2 linked regions of the Macaca mulatta genome follow. The protein of the gene in region 1 purifies or fractionates together with the protein of each later gene. This does not show direct contact. Links are inferred from orthologs where the notes say so. Each region holds a gene or a part of one and is shown on either strand. Other genes may lie near its edges. The genes, in order: FAM83D and CSNK1A1.

Evidence for each region.
Region 2: the proteins of FAM83D (region 1) and CSNK1A1 purify together in Homo sapiens (affinity purification with mass spectrometry; 8 studies listed by BioGRID and IntAct, counting the BioPlex papers as one, with this or other methods). This does not show direct contact. The link is inferred for Macaca mulatta from reciprocal best matches to the Homo sapiens genes FAM83D and CSNK1A1.

What each region holds. Positions count from the first base shown.
Region 1 is NC_133415.1:91,796,876-91,801,340, reverse strand, and holds the start of FAM83D (protein FAM83D), read right to left. Parts: upstream 3,080-4,465; 5' UTR 3,040-3,079; coding exon 2,377-3,039; intron 1-2,376.
Region 2 is NC_133411.1:158,512,570-158,517,057, reverse strand, and holds the start of CSNK1A1 (casein kinase I), read left to right. Parts: upstream 1-1,472; 5' UTR 1,473-1,959; coding exon 1,960-2,082; intron 2,083-2,752; coding exon 2,753-2,859; intron 2,860-4,488.

The sequences.
Region 1 (4,465 bases):
CTCAAGTGTTGGCAAGGTTGATGCCTTCTCCTGTGGCCCCAGGCCTGGTAGTGTCTGATACACAGCAGGCAATGAGTAAGCAAATAATTTGGCATCTATTCGACCTACTGAAAATACTCATTGGATTTTTTTTTTTCCCAAGACGGAGTCGTGCTCTGTCGCCCAGAGCTGGAGTCCAATGGCGCAATCTCGGCTCACTGCAACCTCCACCTCCCAGGTTCAAGCAATTCTCCTGCCTCAGCCTCCCGAGTAACTAGGATTATAGGTGCGTGCCACCACGCCCTGCTAATTTTTGTATTTTTAGTAGAGATGGGGTTTCACCATGTTGGCCAGACTGGTCTCGAACTGCTGACCTCGTGATCCGTCCACCTCAGCCTCCCCAAGTGCTGGGATTACAGGCTTGACCACCGTATCCAGCCAATACTCATCGGATTTAAAGGTAACTTTCTCAGTTTAAACTGCCCACGTTCCAAATATAGCATCTCAGAGGGAACTGTGGGTAGCTAGACTAGGGCAGCAGGTTCTATCTGGAAATGTCAGTATTACAAAACGCCCATGGGATGAGGGAGAGTCTGAGCTCCCGGCTCCATCCCCTCCTCAGGCCAGCACGTGAGTTTAATTTCCCTCTGGCCTCTGGTTCCAGTGCCCCTTTGCTATCACTAAAATTTTGAGATGGGCAAAAGACTAGAACAATCCACAGCTCTCACTATATAGACCAGTTCTTTACATTTTTCAGGTTCCAAGTGCTCAAGTTCTACTGGAGGTGAGCTTTGGGAACGCATACCTACACAAGTCTGCCTTTTCCATCTTTTTAATCTTCTCACTGAACCCGCAAGGAAAATGTCTACTGCATCAAAAAACCCTCAGCCCACCTAAAGCACCTCAGGGCTGGTAAAAGCCTAGCTGCAGCCCACAACCACTCCCTCAAAAGCAAGGCACTAGGTCACTGTATCCACTACCACTGCAACCCCACCATTCAGGGAAAGAATATTAAGAACATTGGTGAGAATTGGGGCTTGGACTTGGACATGTCAACCTGACAATGCACTGGTATCTTCACCCACAGTCAGACACACTCATGTACCAGCCCTCGCAAGTCTTACCATGGCTGGGGCTTTATCTGCCATGTCCCTGGCACAGGCAGACAGCCAGGAAGCCGGGCACTGCCAGTCAGCAAGCAACCTGACCATGGTTCCAGACCAAGGTGTCTGCCACCATACTGTTCTGCCACACCCACATGCAGGCTGCCTTCTTCCTCCTTGATCCCCAACACCCTGCTGCAGCTTCATTGAGGCTGGCAAGCAGACAAGACCTCCACTGCGCCCATGACCATGCCATACTGAGTCAGACAGTAGGACCAAAACAGAAGCCGATCTAATGCAAATGTATCTGCATTTTAGGAGACCACTGCAATCTGGCACAGACCCAGCCTATGGAAAACTCCTTGCCCCTTTCATTCACAACGGCAAATTTCCCCTCCAGTCTCTGGCAGTAGAAAAAGCGGCAGGGGGCCGGGCGCAGTGGCTCACGCCTTAATCCTAGCACTTTGGGAGGCCGAGGAGGGTGGATCACCTGAGGTCAGGAGTTCGAGACCAGCTTGGCCAACATGGCGAAACCCTGTCTCTACTAAAAATACAAAAACTAGCCGGGAGTGGTGGCAGGCGCCTGTAATCCGAGCTACTTGGGAGGCTGAGGCAGGAGAATCACTTGAACCCGGGGACGGAGGTTGCGGTGAACTGAGTTCCCACCACTTCACTCCAGCCTGGGCAAAAGAGTGAGACTCTGTCTCAAAGAAAAAAAAAAAAAAAAGACAAGAAAGAAAAAGCGGCAGGGGTCTCACTTTGCCACTTGTGTTTATCTGCTTTTTACAACATAAGATGCGTGAAAGTAATTAGCAATAATAATTGATTCCTAATGCCCCGTAGTTGTCTCTGGAGACCACCTTCCTGGAACTTTCCCTAGGTAAGTTCTTTGGTAATGAGTCTCCTAAGAAGCTCCTGAAAGTGGGATGTAGCGTTGGCTGACAGCCAGGGAAATCGGCAATTTTCCAAGTTTGATTTCAACTGAAATTTGGAGCTGGGAGTACTTCTGGTCCCTCCTTCAGGGATATGAACGTTAGGAGATGGAACCCGGACACAATTCTTATCCTTGGGAACCGAGGCTTCCCCACTATCCCCTGCCACCAGGAGCGGCCCGGGGGATCCGGGGAAGACACGCAGAGTGGGGTGTGAGTCGGGGACCCCGGGACCCCGTGGCCCGCGCTTCCGGTAGGGAGCTGAGGAGGTAGTCGCCCCGGCCTGTGCTCCCCGCAGGCCTCAATTTCCCATTCTTGAAGGGGGTCTCCCGTGCGACCCAGAGCCCGGGAGGGCCGCTCACCTCTCGCGCCGAGCGGAGCTGCTGGCGCAGAGCGTCCTTGCAGCCGTAGGGGCCGCCCTCGCCCGTGCCGCGGGGCTGGAAGTGGGCCTCGACGCGCGTGGCGCCGCGGTAGGCGCCCTGGTAGAAGGCGGGCCAGCCGAGCTCCAGCAGCGGCGGCTCCAGGTCCGACTGCTCGGGGAAGTAGGTGCCAGACGAGCAGTCATGCGAGGAGCCGAACGAGTCCTCGGCCGCCGCCGCCGCGCCCTCCTCTCCTGGCCTCTCCGCCGCGCGCAGGATGGCGTGCACCTCATCGGGGTTCAGGAAGCGAGCCAGGCGCTCGCGTCGCAGGAAGGCCGCGAAGGCTTCGGGGCCGCCGGCCACCAGCTCCTCCAGAGCCAGGCGCCGTGACTCGCTGAACAGCTCGGCCGGGTTGGGCGGCCCGCACGGAGACAGGCAGGCAGCCGGCAGTTCGTCCAGGCCCTCGCACAGCAGAGCCATAGCGGCACTCGGACGCGACAGCCCTCGGACAAGAACCAGCCTGCAGGCCCACTTTATAGGCAACCTTTGAATCAAACAGGCCCGCGCCATTGGCCGCACCTCCCCGCCTCGACTCTCCCATTGGCTGCATTCCTTCCAATAGCGGAGCGAGGCGGGGCGCAAGCCTCTACGGTTCCGCCCCCTCATGCGTTATTGGCTGCGATGCTGGGGTTGCTAAGCCGAATTTAAACTTGCAGGGGCGAGGCGGGCCGCAGAGCAGGGACAGAGCGGGGAGAGCCGGGCTCCTGGCCATCCCAGGGCGCCCCCTGCCGGCCGCCCCCCAGTGCGGCCCTACAAGGCCAGGGACAGTCAGGCCTAGGCAGTGAGGAGAGGCAGGTGCCGGCTCCCAGACACGTTGGCCACGCTGCTCCTAGGCTCTCAGAGCTTTGGTATGGCCAAACATATCGTCTTTATCCCCTGCCTTTAACCACGTATTCATTCATTAAAAAAATACCGGCTCATCATATTAGGACCGCTCCTTTGCTTACACCCTCGGGTAGTCTTCTCTCATTTCATCAGTTTTTGCCTTGTAAAACTCCAACCAACCCTGGTTGTATCCTACTTTGCACCTGCACCCCGGCAGCCCTACAGGGCTGGAGAAAAAAACAAAAAGAGCATAACCATGCTTACTGACTGGTCATGTTTTACATTCATAATCTGTAAGACTACCTGCTAGGAGGCCGGGCGCGCAGTGGCTCACGCCTGTAGTCCCAGCATTTTAGGAGGCCTAGGAGGGCGGATCACCTGAAGTCAGGAGTTTGAGACCAGCCTGACCAACACGGTGAAACCCCGTCTCTACTAAAAATACGAAAATTAGCCGGGCATCTTGATGTACGCCTGTAATCCCAGATGCTCGGGAGGCTGAGGCAGGAGAATCACTTGAATGCGGGGAGAGGAGGTTGCAGTGAGTCCAGATCACACCACTGCACTCCAGCCTGGGCGACAAGAGCGAAACTCCATCAAAAACAAAACAAAACAAAACAAAACAAAAAAACTGCCTGGTAGGCCACATTTCCCTCATTCTCTCTACCTTTTCCTCTCTGACAGCTTGCCTCCTATGTCACCGAGAACACAGAAGCAGTGAGAAGGGAACGTCCACGTGCGCCCATCTAGTCTACCTTCCTGTCTCCATCGCTGCCCATATACTGGGCATTGATGAACTGCGCCTGTGCCCATCCAACCCCAACCCCTCTGCCTGGGCACTTCCAGCCCCTCTACTACTCACCAGCATCACTCCAGCAACCTTCTTCTTTCTCCTGGAACATCAGCTTCCCTCTTTACTGATTCATTTCTATCAACCTACACGCATGCTGAAATATTTTTCGTCTTAAAACAACCCTCTTTTGACTCTACATTCCTCTAAAGCTCCCCATCTCTCTTCTTACTTTTGCAGCATAAAATCTCAGATGTGGCTGGCCATGGTGACTTGCACCTGTAATCCCAGCACTGTGGGAGGCCAAGGGAAGAGGATCACTTGAGCCCAGGAGTTTGAGACCAGCCTGGGCAACATAGTGAGATCCTGTCTCTACAAAAAAATACAAAAGTCAGCTGGGCATGGTGGTGCGCCTAACTC
Region 2 (4,488 bases), on another chromosome or scaffold:
TAAACTTTAGGGGAAGTCTCTTCCCCTCTCTCTTCAGTTATCTTCCGAGATGAACCCTATTACTAACCTTAATTACTTGATCACCTTTCAAAGGTGCAGTTAAAATTCTTCACATTTTTCTCTCATTTCTATTTAATTAATTATTTTTTTGAGAGAGGGTCTCTCTGTTGCCCAGGCTGGAGTGCAGTAGCGTGATCTAGTCTCACCGCAACCTCCGCTTCCGAGTAGCTGGGGTTACAAGTGTACGTCATCACACCCAGCTAATTTTTGTATTTTTAGTAGATACGGGGTTTCGCCATGTTGGCCAGGCTGGTCTCGAACAACTGACCTCAAGTCATCTGCCCGCCCCGGCCTCCCAAAGTGGTGGGATTACAGGCGTGAGCCACTGCGCCCGGCCCTCATTTCTATTTTAATTAAATTTTATTTAGGATAGGCTTAGCTTAAATGTTTACGACTGAGGTCTGACTTAAGATGATAGCATAAACCATGGAGCTTTCTTTTGTGAACATTACTATTACTCAACCCAATTTTCCCAGGTCAAATTTTGTAATACAAAATGTGGTCAAGATTTGATTCTCTGATCGATTTTTAGTAAAAAAGAAAAAAATTTCCGTGTAGCTTTAAATGTTGTCAATTAAATTTTGTAATAGTTACCTCTACTCTGTTCAGGTTAATACTGCGGTTTTCAACATGACCAACATACGATTCTTTGTTGTTGTTTTGGTGGGGTTGGGGGGCATAACAGTTTTTTCACTCTTGTTAAATTAATTTTCTGTTGATTCCATCTATCCCTAATCTTCACTATGAACAAGATACTGGGTTTTCTTCTGAAGATCAAAAGTGGTAGTGAGGCAATAATGCAAAGACGTAGGACGGCAGGGGGATTCCGGCTTCTTTCTTTTTTCCCCTCCTGTGGAAAGAGGGTCTATAACACTCCGTAGTAGAGAAGAAAATTCTAATTATGAAGGGTAATTAGCTAGGTTTTGCTATAACCGAGAGCCCTGAACGATTCCTCAACGCGGGCTGCTTTTCTCTTCCTCTCCACCAGAGGCGATAGCCTCTTTCCAAACAGAAACTGGGTTGGAATAGGCCGGTCCTGGGGAGCGGCCAGAAGAAAGATCAAAGGTTAAAAACCGCCTCAAAGAGCAAAGGTCAATACCCAACTCCTAAGGAGGCCTGACACGAAACATGAAGGTGACTCCTCCCAACATCGAGGCCTGGGGCCACTCAGCCTTCCAGAGACCCTGCGGGTCCGAGGCGAGTAACAGGTAACACCAGCTGAGCCGCCGCCGACCGGAAGTGGAAGAAAGCCCGGGGCGGGGTGAGGCAGGCCGCGGCACGCCTGCGCAGTCAGCAGGAGTTGCAGCGCTCATGCGCTACTGGGCGGTGACAGGGTGACGCTCGGAGCGTGGGCCGCGACTCTCACGGATCCGGTTCCGCCCTCTCGCTGCCGATCCTTCGGAGCGAGCGCCCCAGATCCCTTTCCCAGAGTGCTCTGCGCCGTGAAGAAGCGGCTCCCGGGGACTGGGGGCATTTTGTGTTGGCTGGAGCTGGAGTAACAAGATGGCGGCGTCGGCGGAGTGACAGGGGTCCCTCAGGGCCGGAGCCGGCGGCAGTGGTGGTAGCTGTATCGCCGCCCTAGCTCACCGCGCCCCTTTTCCAGCCCGCGACGTCGCCGCGCAAGCGAGGCAGCGGCGGCCGCCGAGAAACAAGTGGCCCAGCCTGGTAACCGCGAGAAGCCCTTCACAAACTGCGGCCTGGCAAAAAGAAACCTGACCGAGCGGCGGTGATCAGGTTCCGCTCGGCTGATTCTGGGCCCCGAACGCCGGTAAAGGCCTCCGTGTTCTGTTTCCTGCCGCCTTCCTCCGTAGCCTTGCCCAGTGTAGGAGCCCCAGAGGCCTCCGTCGTCTTCCCAGAGGTGTCGGGGCTTGGCCCCAGACTCCATCTTCGTCTCTCAGGATGGCGAGTAGCAGCGGCTCTAAGGCCGAATTCATTGTCGGAGGGAAATATAAACTGGTACGGAAGATCGGGTCTGGCTCCTTCGGGGACATCTATCTGGCGATCAACATCACCAACGGCGAGGTAATCACCTGGGGTGGGGTTCACGATAACGCTGCGCTTTTCCTCATTCCCCCCACCACCACCGCGCACCCCCAAAGTGCTCGGGCCTTTCCTCACCGCACGCACTCGCCAGGGAGTCCAGGGAGCTAGTTTTCCTGGCTTGCGATCCTCGCCCGCTCTCTCCCTAAAAGGGTCAAGAACCCGATAGAAAGGTTGGGGGAACTAGTTTCCCAGCTTGTTAAACACGTCCCATAAATGTCCCTTCGTCGAGCTGTTTTTTTTTTAACCGACTTTTAAGGTGGAAACGGCAAAATCCTCTTTCTGTGATTCCCATGCTTTGCTTTGCTTTTCTTTTATTTAATTTTTAATCCTACTGGGCCTCTTGTTCCAATTAGAACAGTTTCCGATTGCCTAGTTCCTTAAAAACCTCTCACTACGTTCAGAGGTTGCTTCTTTTTTCTGGATGAATCATTTTCCTGCACTTTAGAGGACGTACGATTTCGTCACTACCCCCTGAAGAGGCCTTTGAGGCTGGTTGCCTCGTTTTATAATTACAGAGAGCTTTCTCTTTCCAGCTTTTCACTTCTTCCTTGTAGTCGCGACTTGGAGTTTTGCTAATGTCTCTCTCCTTTCCTAAATGACACTGAATCCGTAGGGATGTTGATGCCATCATCCCCTCTTTCCCCTGCAGGAAGTGGCAGTGAAGCTAGAATCTCAGAAGGCCAGGCATCCCCAGTTGCTGTACGAGAGCAAGCTCTATAAGATTCTTCAAGGTGGGGTTGGCATCCCCCACATACGGTAAGAACCCCGTGCATGTAGGCGATCCGCTGAGGGAAGCACGGAATGGGGAAGTGGGTAGAGGCAGGTAATGAGACCAGCTGAATCCGGGTCTTGTTTTAGTTACCTGGGTTCCTTGTAGCTGGTGCCTTCCTGTAAGTCATCGCAATCACTGAGTAAATTTCAATTTGCCAACTTATTTCATTGTATTACACTGCTCCATTTCGCTTCCGTCATTCTCTTCCCGAGGCTTTCGTTTGCAGTTAGGCGTGCGGGTCATCTTTGATCCCTACGCGGAAGGGTTGGCTGCTGCCTTTTTTACGGCGGCACGTCTGATGTTCTTAGGTTTGTCCAGTGAAGTGGATTTGAAGGTGCTGAAGCGACCCGGCAGTGTCAGTTCGAGTTGCTATTGGAGCTGGCTTGGGAAATGGCTGCTCTTTTGTTGTGTTTTTGTTCCAACATGTCTTCCTCCTCCGCTTAGAAAATGGCGGAACGACGTGACTCAACCCCATATTCCTGCCCTTTTCTCAGCTTGGGTTCACAAATTATGCTTCCTTGATTCCTCCTTTAGCAGCCCCGAGTGGATTAAACCTTTGAAAAGCCAAGAATAAAGCTGCAGGAGGCGGTGTGGGGGTTCGAGGAAGGAGATGGCATAGTGACAATGTTTGTGATCTCTGCAGCAGATGTGACATGAAATTGTTGAATTATACTATGTAAAATCCTTTGTGGTTCTTTTAAAAGTGTTAATTACGCTTTCCTTTCGTGAATGGTCATATTTGGCACATTTCAGTCGGGACTAAATTTGTATAGGTAATGGCAAAGGCAGTTTGAGCAGCACCAACTATGTTAAAATTTACTCAAATCAATTGTATTAAAAGAAATCTTAATCACTTAGCCACACTTTGATAAGTAATTTTAACCTGTTGAGTTTGGCAGTAAATCTTAATATCAGAGAAATTGCGGCCTTTGTTGGTGTGGAATATTGGTGAGTGCAAATTGCAGTAACGAGGATAAAAGATGACGAGATAGAAAGACATTGTTCTGTCAAATGGTTAACTTTACTTTGGAGGGTTTTAGAGTAATGTTTTAACTTTTGGGATTAAAGAGCCTCTTCATGGAATGGAGACTAAAATATAGTTTAAAACCAAGCTATTTTTCAGCAACAATCTAAAATACCTTTTGCAAAAATATTCAGAATAGGTGAGAATGGTGTTTACTGTTTGCTGGAGACTCTTTTTTTTTTTTTTGAGACTGAGTTTTCGCTCTTGTCGATCAGGCTGGAGTGCAGTGAATGGCACGATCTTGGCTCACTGCAACCTCTGCCTCCTGGGTTCAAGCGATTCTAGTGCCTCAGCCTCCTGAGTAGCTGGGATTACAGGCGCCCGCCACCACACCCAGCTAATTTTTGTATTTTAGTTTCACCATGTTGGCCAGGCTGTACTCGAACCCCTGACCTCAGGTGATCCACCTGCCTCGGCCTCCCAAAGTGCTGGGATTACAGGCATGAGCAACCGTGCCCAGGTTTTTTTCTTTTGAAACGAAGTCTTACTCTGTTGCCCAGGCTGGAGTGCAGTGGTGCAACCTTGGCTAACTGCAGCCTCTGCCTCCCAGGTTCAAGTGATCCTCCTGCTTCAGCCTCCCAAGTAGCTG